Linked DNA regions of Notamacropus eugenii. The protein of the gene in region 2 purifies or fractionates together with the protein of the main gene of each other region. This does not show direct contact. Links are inferred from orthologs where the notes say so. Each region holds a gene or a part of one and is shown on either strand. Other genes may lie near its edges.

Region 1 (7,636 bases), on a different chromosome or scaffold from region 2:
TTTCTTTCACAATATGGCTAATACGGAAAATGTGTGGCATGACTTCATATGTATAATCAATATACTGCTTGCCTTTTCAAGAGGTGGAGGAAGGTTAAGATGATTGGAATTGGATGAAGTCTCTATGAAGGAGGCAATTTTTAAAAATCTCTGCTCTAGGACCAGCTTTAATCATTATGTTATATAGCATTCAGTTTCTTTTTTTATTATCTCTTACTTTTATTTTATTATCTTTCTTCCCATTTACACCATTACACTATATATAAATAGATATAGAGGTTGTTTTCCTGGTTCTGCTTTATCTCATTCTGGAACCTTAACCTTCTCATTCTTCAAATCACACTTCTTACATGTCCACATTTTATTACATTCATCATACAACAATTTGTTTAGCCAATCCCTACTTGATGATTATCTACTTTCTATGTTTTTGGTATATGTGCTTTTCTATCACTGACATCAGAGTATGTACCCAGGAGGTTCTCAAAGGGTAGGAATATTTCAGTCACTTTCTTTGAATTCCAGATTACTTTATTGAACAGTTTGACCCATATATAGTTCCATAAAAAAAGGTATTAATGTGCCCAGCTTCATGGACTATTTGCATCTTCTGTGATCTTTGCCAATTTCCTGGGTGAAGTGAAATTTGAGTTGCTTTCACTTTCATCTCTCTTGTTATTAATGACTTGAAATAATCTTTCACAAGTTCATTAACAGCTTGTAAATCTTCTAAGAACTGTTCATATTCTTTGATCATATCGAATGATAAATGATTCTTGGCCTGACGTACTTGCATTGGTTCTTTGTATATCCAGGACCCTTAGAGATCTCTATAGGTAATGCAAAGGCTTTTCCCCCAATCCAACACTTTCCTTTTTACCCAAGTTACATGGATTTTCTTTGTGAAAAAGGTTTTATCTATTTTATGTTATATGATCACCTGTATACTCCTTCCATGTTTGGTGGGGGGGGGGGGGAAGATCTTCTTATCCTAGTCACAGAAGTGAAATGAACTTAACCTGTCATCTAAATTTTTATATCACCTTTCATTTGCCTTTTAGAGTATTACCTTTCATTCAAGTTGCACATTCATTTTTACCTTATTATTGTCTAAGATGGTGCTCTAGATTTAATTTCTGCCAATCTGCTTTCCAGTTTTCCCAACAATTCTTTCAAATATGGAATTCTTTATCAAGTAATTTATCTCTTCTGGGTTATTAAGTTCAATTGTTTTTCATTCTTCTTTTTTCAATTTGTTCTATCAATCTACTTTTCTAATTTTTTTAACCAATACCAAATAGTTTCAATGATTACTGCTTCACAGCAAAACCAAAGGTCTAGAAGTAATACCCTTCACTCTTATTTTTTTCATTATTTCCTTTGAGATTCTGAATCTTTCATTCCTCCAAATGATTTTTATTATTATTTTGCCTACCTCTGTCAAGTATCCCCTTGGTAATTGATTTGGCAAAGTATTAAGTCTGCAAATTAATTTAGATAATATCATCCTTTATCTTCTGACCTAACATGGAATAAGGAAAAGTTTCTGTGTTTTCCCATTGCAAATGATTTTAGAAATGATTTCATTATTAAAAATAACCCTTCAAGGTCTATGACGTAGAATTTTTAGCATAAATAAATGATACACTTCCTCAAAGGCTTTTCCTGCATCTATTCATACAATCCTGTAGTTTACAGTGGTTTTGTTTTTAATATGAACGACTATTAATTGCTTTTCTAATTCTGTATCATCCTTGCATCCATAGTAGAATGCTAACTTGTTCACAATGACTAATTTTTTTATATAGTACCACTTTTTTTGCTAAAAATTTTTAAAATTATAACCAATACTCATTAACGATACTGATGTATAGTTCTCTTTACTTTATCCTCCCCTGGTTTAAGTATTAGGGCCAGGCTATCCCCTTAGGGATCTTCATGTACTGATTCCCAACTTACTGAGAAATCAGATAGACCCCGTTATTTACAGGAAGACAGTCTTCGTCAACCAGCACTGCCTAGGTGGGGGAGCCATCTCGACAGGACAAGCTAATCCACTTGACAGATAAACATGATTTCTTATTTATCTGGATTAAGTAAACACAACACCCAGGACAAGCATCTTCTCCTCCACCCTGCCTCCCTGCCAAAAACAAAACAAACACCAGCCTGGAAAAGCACACCAGCGTCTGGGAGGTCTGTGCTCCCTCTCTTTAGATGGTGATGTTCACAGCTGTCTATGCCAAAAACAAAAAAATGCCACGAGAAATTTTTCAAGAACTATTTCCATTCGACACGAGTCACTACGCACGTGTCTGGTGCCAGAAGCTCCAGACTAGTTTTGGCTACAACAAAGATCGCAGACAAGAACTTTTCCCAGGTGGACCCTACCCAGCCCCACCCCCTGTCCGGCCCCACCCCCGAGAGAACAAAGCCTGGAGCATCCCGGCACCCCGAATCCAACAGAAGCCCACGGTTTCACTCTAACCCACGCTAGCTTTTGGGGGGTCACACGGTCCGGGACAGGGGGCGTGAAGGGCTCCTGGCGAGCCCTCCCACCCACCCCCACCCGCCTGGGCTCGCACCTACGGCCCGGACCCCGCTCCCTCCAACCAAGCCGGCCGAGAGGAAGACAGAAGGACCCTCCTCTTCCTCGGGCCTCTTCCCTGCCCAGCGCCCGCCTCCGCCGGAGCCAACGGCCACACGGCCTTCCCCTGACCCCCTCCTCCCCCAACACGCACGCACACACGCGGAGCCCTCACCTCGTCGTCCAGGAAGTCCAGGTAATCTCTCTGCGCCTCCCGCAGCTCCACATCGTCTATCACGGTGGTGGCAGCCATGCTTCCAGACTGCAGAATGGACTCCGCTTCTTCGCTCCCCCAGCGCTGACTCCTCCCCAGGCGCGAAAGTTACTTCACTTTTCCCGCCACCCAAAGTTACTTCCTAGGCGGCTGCGGAAGCAGGTTGGATTCTGATTGGCTGCAACTTCCGCGGGCGGAAGAACGTGTGCCCAATGGGCAGCTCCTTCCTCCCCTTGGCGTTCCGATACGTCCTCATGGCGGGAAACTTACAGATGTCTATTTGCCCCTCCCCTCCCCTGCGCCCTTAAGTCAAGAAGAACGTAACTGGCCAATCCAGAGGGCGCGATGGGCGGAGCTTGTGACTTTCAGCTCCCGAGGGTTGGGACTGCAACGAAAATACGTCGCGTTGCTTTCTGGGAATTGTAGTCCATATGATAGAAATCTAGTAGTCTGGGTGGTTGGTGCTACCTTGCTTTCAAGCTGTTTCCCTTCTGGGTAACGTACAAAAACATTATCTGTGTCGAGTCGTCCAGTCTCACCTGCGCCTTTGTGTTCACTTTGTGACCGGGAAAGTCAATCCCTTGTTCTGCGCCTTCTTTTATAACAGTTTGGGAATGATGTTATATTACATTGGAGAGGGGGTATCAAGGGACATAAAAAAAGTGACGATCATTGATTAATTTTGTTTTAATCAGGTAGACACGGCCAGAGATGTGCTGGAGCGAGCTCCTTACCCGCAGAACTGGCTGCTGAATAACTTGGAAATCGGCAAATGCTCCAGATGAAGGACTTGATCTGTTTTATTGATTGTCTAGAATTCAAGACAGAGATGAAGGAATGTTAACGATGCATTTTTTAAAAATTATTTTGTTTTCAGTTTTGTACAGTCAAACAATGCAGATTTAAAAATAATAATAAATAAATAATATTTGTTTATTTAATAATAATAAATAAATGATGAGCACATTACACACCCGCACACACACACACACGCACACACGCACACGCACACGCACAGTTAAACACAGTTCAACATTTACCAACACACTCGGGAGATTTCACAGGTCCGCAGAACTGCCCTCACGGATAATCGGGCAACATTTCTGTAATGTGCACTCAGCCTGGGCACCGAGAGTTAAAGTGGTCTTCCCACATTTCTGCAGCCGATACGAATGAAAGGCAGAAATTCCTCTCTCTCTATCACAAGACTGATTCAGTATAAGAATCGATGAAAAGCAAATATCTTCTCACATCCATCACGCAGCTGCTCTCCGTGGTGTCGGAGATAGAGTGCTAGAGCTGGAATGAGGAAGACGGGGGTTCAAATTCAGTCTATGTAACCTGAGGCAAAGCACAAATTCTCTAAACCTCTGTTTCCTCATTTTTAAAATAAAGGGATTGGACAAAGTCTCCAAGGTCCCTTCCAGTTCTAAGTAGTGGCAGGCAGGTGGCGCATTTGGATAGGGTCAGGTAGAACCTGATACATACGATCTGTGTGACCCTGGGACAAATCACTTAACTTCTGCCTGCCTCAGTTTCCCCATCTGTCAAATAAGCTGGAGAAGGAAATGGCAAACCACCCCCAGTATCTCTGCCAAGAAAACTCCAAAGGGAGTCACAAAGAGTCCACATGACTGAACAACAACGTGTTTCTAAAGCGCAGTGCCCGAAACATAGTAGGCACTACGTAAACTTTAGTGATGAGGATGATGATGATAGCGGATGTTTTAAATACCTGGATACATTATTAATATGTGCTCTGTAAGCTTCATGCTATTTATCCCTATAAGTTGAGGAGATTAAGATTGATCCTGTCTTATTTTCTTATTGATCCTATTTACAATTAATTGATTTTGTCCCCTAAGTGCTTCAATCATGGTTCTTTGTCTCTGAACTGAATTCAGCGTTCAGCTGGTCTGTAACAGATTAGCTTTAAAAATACAGCTCTCCTGCCTCAAGGAACTTAACTGATCTTGGTGAATGTGTGAGAATGCAAGGAAGTTTGGGCTTGACACTCTTACTCCACCAAGCTTTCCTTCAAGGATGTCTAGTTTGCTGAGCCACTATCCCACACCTGCACTCAGACAATAAACACCTCTTAGTATCATGAGAGGAGAAGAGGGGTCAATGCTAGCCCCCATTACCAAATTTCCTACCAATCATGTTGTTCCCTGTGCCTCAACTCTTTGACCAATCATGATCCCAAGATGTCATCTACCCTCCTCTTTGTAATTTCCAAAACCTTGTATTAAGAAGATCTGTCCTCTTGCTCCAGGTGTTTGGCATTAATGGAGGCAATCCACTGACCCATTTATTGACAGGTAACATGACCTTGCTCTGAGATCTACCTCAGTTTACCCTTTCATTAAAATTCAATTTCTACAGTTATATAACAATAAATACTTTTGTCCTTCAAAGTTCAAACATGAAGGATACTAGAATTAAGTCCTTGCTCGGCTACTCACTATCTGTTCCTTCCTAACTAAACTAATTCCAAGTACACTTTCCTCATCTCAGAGGGATTGAGAGCTATGTAACCTGTAGCTCAAAGGCTATTTGCATAAAACTCTACAAAATGGCCTTTGAACAGTAGATTATATCTATTGTACCTCATGGGGTTGTTGTAAAGATCATTTGAGCTAATTTCTATGAAATATTTAAAAACCTATCTGTATGATTGCATATTTAAGGTCTTATTGATTAGCTGTAAGACTATGGTTTGAAAGCCTAATATCTGATTACTGTCTGATTTCTACATTTGCAATCTGGAGAACAAAAACCAATTCATGAATCAAGATCCTGTTTACAGTTTTATACAAGATGAGATATGAATAAATGAATGAAAAGATCAGTAAATGGTTACTATGTACCAGGAACAGAGCTAAGCATTAGTGATACAAATATATAAAAAGTGAAATAGCTTCTTTTCTCAAGGAGTTTATATTCCAACACAGCAGGTATTCTTAATTTGAGGTCCACCAATTCCTATAGGATCCATAAATGGATTTCACGGGATCTGAAAATTTGGATGAGAAAAATTATAACTTTTCTTCAGTGTAATTGGTTTCCTTTATAATCCCGTGTATTTTAATATATTAAAAAACATTCTGAGAAGAGGTCAATAAATTTTCACCAATCTGTCAAAGGTGTCTATGATACAAAAAAGGTCTAGAATTCCTGTGATAGGGTGAAACAATACACATAGGAGAATGGTAGCCAAGGGATGTTTTGGTCAGGAAAGTGGTCTCAGGGATATTGAGTTGATCTTTAGGGCAATTAACTAGTTCATTCTTTCCAGAGGCAATGCTGCTGTTGCTGCTGCTGTTACTACTGCTACTACCAGCATTTATAGATCACTTTAAGGTTTGTAGTGTTTTACAAATATTGTCTTATTTTAACTTCACAACAATCCTAGGTCCTATTGATGAAATTTGGAGTGCTAGGACCCTAAAAATGCCTAGGCAGGGTTGCCTGGAATGAATTCACACACTCAAGCCATCCTTCGGTTGAGGCAGTTTATTGTAATACCAATAGAAGTGGGCAGAGTTCCTTTAAAGAATTTACAACCTAATGGGGGTGAATCTAGAGCTTATATAGAAAAGGGGCATGGGAAAGGAATAATTATGTAATGCAAAGGGTCCAAGTGTCATGGGAGCAGGCGTCAGTAATCTATGGAAAATGTAGGGAGTTTTTCAGAGATAATTTTGTTGATACCAGACATTGAGGGAGCTGTTAGAGGCATGGACCTTGGGGATCTGACATGAGGGAGAGTGCTTGGGTCAGGCACCCCTGTATCTGTTGTTTATCTAAGGAATTACAGGGTGAACTCTGTCTGTATCTGTAATAAGAAGAGAATTTTCTCATGGATGGGAGAGGAGGGGCTGGGTTGCTTTCAGAGACATGGTGGTAGGGCTTTTTGGGATCTAGGTCCCACCACCCCATCACTGTTATTATCCCTATTTTACAGATGAGGAAACTGAGGCTGGCAGAAATGAATTTTATTTACTGTTGATCTGATTACTATGTTCAAAGAAAAGGGAGGGACAATAAAATATGTTGCTACGTATCCCGATTTCCATTTTTATTCATATTTATGATCTCTCATCACCTGGTATATTTCAAGGCCAATCCAACTTCAGGCTCACAATACTGAGCAGGTAGAGAAGATCTTGGATACTGTGAAAACTGGTGATAATGTAACGCTTTGTTTTTCAGCATTCCCAGGGAAAGAGAAAGCATGGAGGTAGTTTATTTATTTAGTTTCCCAGATAAGGAGAATAATCTTAGGTACTTTCTTTACAACTTCCAATCTTGGAAGTTGCCTAGAGGAAGGAGAAAGTATAGAGATAAGGACTAGATCAGTATAGTTCTCTGATTTGCCCAGAGTTACATAGTCCATGTCTATTTTTATTTTTTTTAAGCTGGCACAATTTATTTTTTTTTTTATGGTTTCTTGAAATATATCTGTGAAAAAACAGGCTTTAAAAAAAAAAACAACATTGTGTTTCAAATGGAGCTGGGCCCAGGGTCATACCTGAATTCAAATTCAGCCTCAAATACTTGCTGTGTGATCTTGGGTAAGTCACTTAACCTCTGTTTACCTCAGTTTTCTCATCTGCAAAATGGAAATAATAATAGCACCTACCTCCCATGGTTGTTGTGAGAATCAAAAGAGATAATAATTGTAAAGTGTTTAGCATAGTGCCTGGCATAGAGTAAGTACCATATAAATATTTTTTACTATACTATAAATATATTGTATATAGTAATATACATACTATATATTAGTATACATAATATACTAATATATTACTATATATAAGACACTAATATAT
Region 2 (7,392 bases):
TGTAATATGGCAAACTTGGAACCAGGAATGTTCTAAGGAGCTTAGAACATTTCTGGTCCAGAACCATTAACTCTGGGCTAAAGTAAAATTGTACTGGCCTACAAGTTTCCTATTAGAAAATAATTACTAATAGAGAAGAAAATGACAGTTAAAAGATCTAACTAAATTATTTTTTGTCAAGTCATCTAGGGAGCAGAATATTCTGTTTTTGTACCCCATCCTAATTTAGCCACTGCCTTTCCCCTTCTTTCTATAAATAATAACATTCTCTTTATTCCATTCAGAGTAGAAATTGGAAAAAGGCATAAGTAGTTGTTGATGGAGCAAGATAATTTCTTTTATCTCTTTCCCAGTATATCCCTCCCTTCTGGAAAAGTTAACTGGGCTACAAAATAAAAAGAATTAGAGCAATTCTATACTGATAAAAGAATTCAATGCATTCTAAGAAGAATGTAATGTACCTCTTGGAAAAAATGTAATGCTTCAGAAAGAAAATAAATTAATCATCCTGCCTAACTGCCAGGGCTATGAAAAGGCAAATTAGGGACAATCTCCATTTGTTTAATAAGACACTGGAGAAAACACAAGTATTAACACCATTGGTATAAAGTAATTTTTCAAGAGTCATGTGCTTTGGAATATATAAGATCTTAGGATCATAGATTTAGAACTGGAAGGGAACTTTGAGTCCATTAAGTTCAACCTCATCTTTTTATAGATGAGGAAAACAAAGCACAAAGTGGTTAAATGATTTGTTCCTGGTCATAGAGCTAGCAAGTGTCTGAGATGAAATGTGAAGTCAGGTCCCCTTGACTCCAGAGTCCAGGCCTCCATCCTCCACACCATGCAAATCGAAAAAAAAAAAAATGGAAAAAATCCCTGCCTTTCATATCCAACTTGTTGTCAAGGCCTGTTGATTTCATCTTTACAAGATTCCTCCAGATGGCTCTGAAGGAGAAAGTGAGGCTAGTGACCTTGCACAGCACTCCTTCGCTCAAATCAGTCAACTGCAAGTCATGTTATCATCTTGACATCATGGTCCTCTTCGAGAATGAAGGACAAACAACCTGTGAGGGAATGGCAGCTCCTCTCCCCTCCCCTCCCCTCCTCTATGTCCTGGCCTGAGGTGCTCTACCCAGGGGAAAATACATTTCCAGGGCCAAAAGCTGCCTTTTTTCCTTTGAGTTTACTGACTAGATTTCTTGCTCAAGGACCAAGCCTTAAACCCAATTCACTCTGGAGCTCAATGATTGGACAACAGATCCCCACCCACCTAGCACAGAGTGAACATAAAGATGAAATAATAACTGTTTCTCTTTTACCCAGGAACCCTGAGGGTCTTCCCCTCCCAGTTTGATTCTTTTTTTTTTTTTTTTTTATTAAAGGACGGTCTCTTGAGTAACCACTTAAAGAAGCCCATTCATTGAGTGGGTGTGTCTCAAAGTGAGAATCTGATAAGACCTTAACCTAAAATGGCCAGGGTCTCTGGTTGCATCCTAGGCCATCTCCAGTCATCCTGATGAATATCTGGTCGCTGGATTCAGATGGCTCTGGAGGAGAAGTGAGGCTGGTGACTTGCACAGCCCTCCCTCACTCAAAGCAAAGTCAACTGCAAGTCATGTCATTACCTTGATTCATGGTCCTGTTCAAGAAGGAAAGACAAACACAACCACTCTAGTGCGGACCCTCATCATCTCACAATTGGGCTTTTACAATAGTGGGTCTGCCTGCCATAGTTTCTCTCCACTCCATTCTCCATTCAGTTGCCAAAGTGATTTTTCTAAAATGCAGGTCTGGCCATGTCATTCTGCTACTCAGTAAACTCCAGTGGTTGTCTATCACCTCCAAAGACCATGCTGCCCCTTTCAATATCAGAAAAATTTTTAAAAACTACCAACAATGAAAAAAGGCACTGTTATGCAGGTTTTTCATCTGTTTCTCTGGCTAGTTTTGGTCCAAGTGGCATAAAAAGAGCCTGCACTTTGGTGAAAGAAGAGTCTGGGTGGGAATACAGTAAATCTAGTGAACAGAGAAAAATGCAAAGCTGTAACAAGGCCTGAGGAAGCTATAAAATGCAGTTAATCAGTGCTAATTTTTTGAATGATTTCAGTTCTTAGAATGCACAGTTTATTAAAAACATGCAAATAAAATTTTAAAATCTGATAAAAAAGGAGGGGAAAAAAGAAAGGAAGGTTCTGGCATATTGGGTATGTGGCAAAATTGTGGGACGACAAGTCACACAACATGAATAGGCATGAATGTGTTAAGATCTTTACTATTTAACTCTAAATGAGGAAAATATTGCCAGGCACTGTGTTAGGTGCTTGGGATACAAAGATAGAAATAAACTAATTCCATTGCTAAAGAAGTTTACATTATACTAGGGAAAACAACATGAATAGAAATAGCATTGGAATAAAAGGGAAAGAACATTGGCTTAGGGTCAGAGAACCTAAATCTGAAGCCTGCCTCTGATTCATGTATCCTTGTTACTTCAACACTTCTGTGCCTCAGTTTTCTCATCTGTAAAACAAAGGAGTTGGATTCTATCAGGGTGGGGAACCTACGGCTTTGAGATCACATGTGACCTTCTAGGTCTTTAGGTACTGACTTTTGACTGAGTCCAAGCGTTACAGAACAAATCCTCTTAAGGGGATTTTGTGAAGTTTGGATTCAGTTAAATGGCCGCACTTGAGAACTTTAGAGGGTCACATATGGCCTTGAGGTCACAGGTTCCCCACCCCTGGATTATATGGTCTCTGAGGTCCCTTTCAGCTCTAAATCTATGATCCTACAAAGAAAGCAGAAAATAAATACAAAGTAATTTCCAGGGAGTAAAAGAAGAGGCCACGAAGAGGTGGTGAGAGCTGAAGTCCTATTCTGAACAACAAAAATCCTGGTTCTTTTTGGCTCAGTCAGCAGAATGAAAAGTCTGGCCAGTACTCTCTAGACAGAAAGGAAGTGACAGTTGTTATAATCATCATAGTAATAGCTATCATTTACATAGTTTTAAAGGGTTTTAAAGTCCTTTTTACAAATCAGAGCCATTTGATGTTGGCTAAAGTCTAATCTAGCTAACTCCAGAAATATGCTTTCTTGGGTTAATTGTTAGGTGACAAATATTCAGCTGAATAGCTCTTAAAAGATTATCTGTGAATTTGTAGAAACATGAGGTATGGTGTACCTTAGCAAAATTAAGGGATCAGTCTCTTGGGATTTTTAAAGTCACTTCCCACCCCTACCATTTGGGTGATCAAAATCTCACAAGAAGTCTAAATGACATCTAATCAAAGGCATTCATTCATTCATTCATCTAACAAGCATTTGTTGAGCACCACTTAAGTATCAGATACTGTAGGTACTAAGACCATAATAGAGGATGGTCACCATCAAATAGCCCACCTTTAAAGGCATCCTTCTTTAACCTAGTCAAGGTGCCTAGGCTTTTTTCTGCTCAAATTTTCACTCACTAGGACTTTAATATATGTGTTTCTATACTTAACATAAATGTGTATTTAACATATTATGTGAATATACATGTATGTGTATATCTAATGTAGAATATACATAGTGCATAGTGTTGCACAGCATATAAGCAGAATGAGTATATATAAATTAGTGTATGTATCCGTATAGAGAAATATATGTATATATATACACATACATGTGTGTGTGTTTGCATATAAAGTGCAGGACTTCACAGCAATAAAAATGAGCCTTAATTAGATCTATTCTAACTCAGGTTTGCCATCTATGTAGCCACCCGTGAAATCTGTCTTCATTCCAGACCCCGACAAGGCTGTTGAGGAGCTTCAGTCCCTGCGTCCTTTAGGGTCACCAGCGGCCGAGGGCAGCTGGAGGCAAGCCCTGACTGCTGGACCTCCCTGTCACTAGTTCCAACGTATGGGAGGCAGGTTTCAGAGACACCAGGAGGCAGCTGGCACTGCCCAGGGCTCCTGAGAACGTGCCCGGCACTCGCGCCTCTGTGGAAGGAGCGCTGCCTCAGTCTCCCACTCTGTAGATGCGAGCTGCTTAATCTTCCCAGAGTCACAGACAAGCCTAGGGACCCCTACTCGCAACGGCCAGTCACGTCAGAGCCTGAAGGCTGGACTGAGCTGGAGGGGCTACAGGAAGGGGGCCTGCCTCTGGTGCCCCGGACGGTGGCCGCTCCAAGCCCCGCCGCGGGAGGAGGAGGCGCGGGGAATCGAGCTTCTGCCGCGGCTCTCCCCAGTCCAGCCCCGCCTCGCCAGTTTGCCCTCCTTTTCTGACCTTTTCCAAAATGGCGGCGACGGCGACGCCGCCGCCAGGGCCCGGAAGCCCCGCCCCGCCCCGCCCCGCCCCTCCTCCTAGCGCGACCGAATGCACTACCGCCCCCTCCCCAGCTCGCGCTCGGGGGTCAGAGGCGACGCCGTCGGCGCGTCCGTTTCCCGCCATAGCGTAGAGGAAGGCGGGGGGCGAGGGGGGCTCCTGGCGCTTCCGCCTCGTAGCTGCCGCCGCCGCCGCTGCCGTGGTTGCTGCTGCCGGGAGCGGGGCGAGCCCGAGGCCGGGCGGTGTCGCTCCGTGACCGCTGCCGCTTGCCCGGCGTGGGCGTGGGCGAGGGAGGGAGCGGCCGGGGGCTTGGGCCGACCCCGAAAGGAGAGGAGGAGGAGGAGGCGGTAGGACGTGCGATCGTTCCCTCTGCCCGCCGCCGTCGCCCCCGGAGCCCCGCTCGGGGCAGCCCGCTCCGCGCGCCCCTCGGCAAGATGCCGTGTGGGGACGACTGGCTGAACCATCCGCTCGGCATCGTGCAGGGCTTCTTTGGTGAGTGGGGGGCGCCCCCGGGAACCCTAGGTAATTCGGGGGAGTCCTTCCTGCCCGGAGATTGAGGAAGGGGCGACCCGAGCGCCCCCTCCCCCGCCACCCGGCGGGCGACCCCCCGGCCCCGGGGCCGCCGCACGGTTCGGGCTGCCCCCTGCGGGGGGCGGGGAGCGGGCAGGAACTTTGTCTCCCTTCCCTCCCGGGCCCCCGGGCCCCCAGACCCGGAACGTGGCCCGGGACTGGCGCAGGCCGCAGCGGGTGCCGTCGGGCTGGGCTGGTGGGAGACGGGGCGGCCGGCCCGCGGGTCCTGCACGGCTTTGCCGTTTCCTCTCCAGCTCGTTTTACAGAAGAGGAGCTGGGGCAAACGGAGCTAAGTGACTTGCCCAGGGTCCCCCGGCTAGGATCCCAGGCCACTCTTAAAGCCAGGAAGTGGAGTCTTCTTTACTCCAGCCAGGCATTCTGTCAGTGCTCTTGGGAATCGGGTAAAGTTGAAAAGGACAAAACCGGTGTGAACATTCTGCGGTGCCACAGACGGGGGCAGTGGTCGTGAAGAGAGCGGGGGCTTGTGCGAGGACTTAGGCTCAGGGTCCTGGGGAGACTGAGACAGGGTTTGTAAAGCAGCATGTAATGCCAGCTATTGCCTGGCTCACTGAGGACGTCCTTTATCGGGCTACTTCAAGAAGTAGGAAGTAAATTTTAGAAATAGTAACTGACATAAAACCCGCAAATTTGGAGATCTTGGGGGATGGAGGAATGTTGACCATTTATTTACTTTTAATTTGCGGACAACTAACTCATTTTCCCAGTCTACGACAGAATAGAAGCAGGAAACCATCACCATCTCCACGTCTCTGAGGGGCACTGACAACAGGGAGACTTAACAGCTGAAGTAAGGGGAGAAGCAAGAAATCTATTTTAAAACTGACAAATTCAAAGTAGAGTATTTGAGGCCCTTTCATGAAGGAACTTGTTGTCTTAAGCTTTTGGATCTCTAAGAGTCATTCCAATAAAGAAGTGTAATAGTTGATATTCTTAATGGTGATCCTGAGTAATTAAAGCAAAAGTTAACAGATTTATCTTTAGCATGCTGCATTTAATTAGAGAAGAAAGTGTGTGTTTCATTTTAGGATTTCCACCAAAAATGGGGTTTGTTTGTTTTTTAAGTTAGTCTTTAAATGCCTTATACAAATTATTTATTTGTATACACACACATTCTTCAAGAACCTATTCTTGTGTGTGTGTATAATATACTTATTCTCCAGGATTCTGGATAAATTAGATTGGTTACTGTGTACCAGAGATTTAGCTACACTTTGCTCAAATCATTTTGTCTTTGTCACACAGAGATATGCATTTCTCATAGCATAGTAAAGCATACAGTGTTGATATATGGTGCCATCAGCTTTATAACAGGGTTCAACAGTGTTTTTAAAATTCCATGGATTATTTATTGTGTAGCGGTTATGAATAATACAGTACTCATGCTTATTGGTCTTAGTATGTTAATAAATCAAAAGCTGGATTTTTTTGGTATATTTTGCAGTTAACACTATTGAAGGATGGCAATTTCACAGTTCCTTCTTGTGCTGTGATAAAACATTGCTTCAGTAATAGATGTTTGCTAACGTAGATAATGTGGCATGAGAATAATTAGGTATATTTCTAGTCAGTCTCTGGACAGGAGAGAATTATTTTTAGTAATGAGTGCCTAAATATAGAGTAACTATCTTTTTAGTCTTGAAATAATGATTTTTACTTGTAAGCACAAGCAGGAATACTGAACAGAAAGTTTGGATTCAGTCAAAGGGCCGCACTTGAGGTCCTAGAGGGCCACATGTGGCCTTGAGGTTGCAGATTCCTCACCCCTGGAGTAAATATGGTAATTTTTTTTCTTGGTCCTTAACCTGCAGTTTTATCACTGTAGTGAACTACATCTGCAACTTAAAAAGTTAGCTTCTGGGACTTTCCCATGGGTCACAGAGCTAGTATGTATCAAAGGATGTACCTGAACCCAAGTCTTTCCAATTCCAGGACCAGTCTACTATCTGTTATTCAATGCTTTATCTTCACATTCCTATATTTAACCCAAAAGAGCCCAGCCTCAAGAATCTGAAAGACCTAGATGCAAGAACTCTGATCCTAGGCAAGTCACAACTTCTAAGTTACCCCAGCAACTCTCTAAGATCATTAAATTGCAAAATAATAACCCATTTATTGACCTGCATTGATAGTGAGTTTTTTCCTCAATAAATGTCCTTCACTCTTTTGACATCACAGGTCTGTCCCCATCCCCCCATCTTCAATTAATGAATTTATGTCTTAAGTAGAGATTTGGGGTTGTATTTGCCAGATGGTGTGATTAATCTCATATTTAAGATATTTCCTTTAGACCTTAAAAAAAGTCATTATCAGTATGTATGATCTAGATTGAGGAAGGTATCCAAAGTTGGAAAATCCCTGTAACTCAGGTTATAACCGTTCCATTCCCCTTCAGAATTAAGTGAATTATTGCCTCAGTGCCCACATTTCTGTCCAAAATTAAAGCCTTTCTAGTAGCTAGTAGACCTGCCATGGCTTGAACTTCCCTGCTGAATT

What was found. The genes of interacting proteins can lie anywhere in the genome.
Region 1: the proteins of MCMBP (region 2) and MCM3 purify together in Homo sapiens (affinity purification with mass spectrometry; 10 studies listed by BioGRID and IntAct, counting the BioPlex papers as one, with this or other methods). This does not show direct contact. The link is inferred for Notamacropus eugenii from reciprocal best matches to the Homo sapiens genes MCMBP and MCM3.

Annotation. Positions count from the first base shown.
Region 1 is NC_092873.1:118,548,489-118,556,124, forward strand, and holds the start of MCM3 (DNA replication licensing factor MCM3), read right to left. Parts: upstream 3,076-7,636; 5' UTR 2,841-3,075; coding exon 2,763-2,840; intron 1-2,762. UniProt on the Homo sapiens protein: Acts as a component of the MCM2-7 complex (MCM complex) which is the replicative helicase essential for 'once per cell cycle' DNA replication initiation and elongation in eukaryotic cells.
Region 2 is NC_092872.1:200,041,786-200,049,177, reverse strand, and holds the start of MCMBP (mini-chromosome maintenance complex-binding protein), read left to right. Parts: upstream 1-4,340; 5' UTR 4,341-4,742; coding exon 4,743-4,800; intron 4,801-7,392. UniProt on the Homo sapiens protein: Associated component of the MCM complex that acts as a regulator of DNA replication.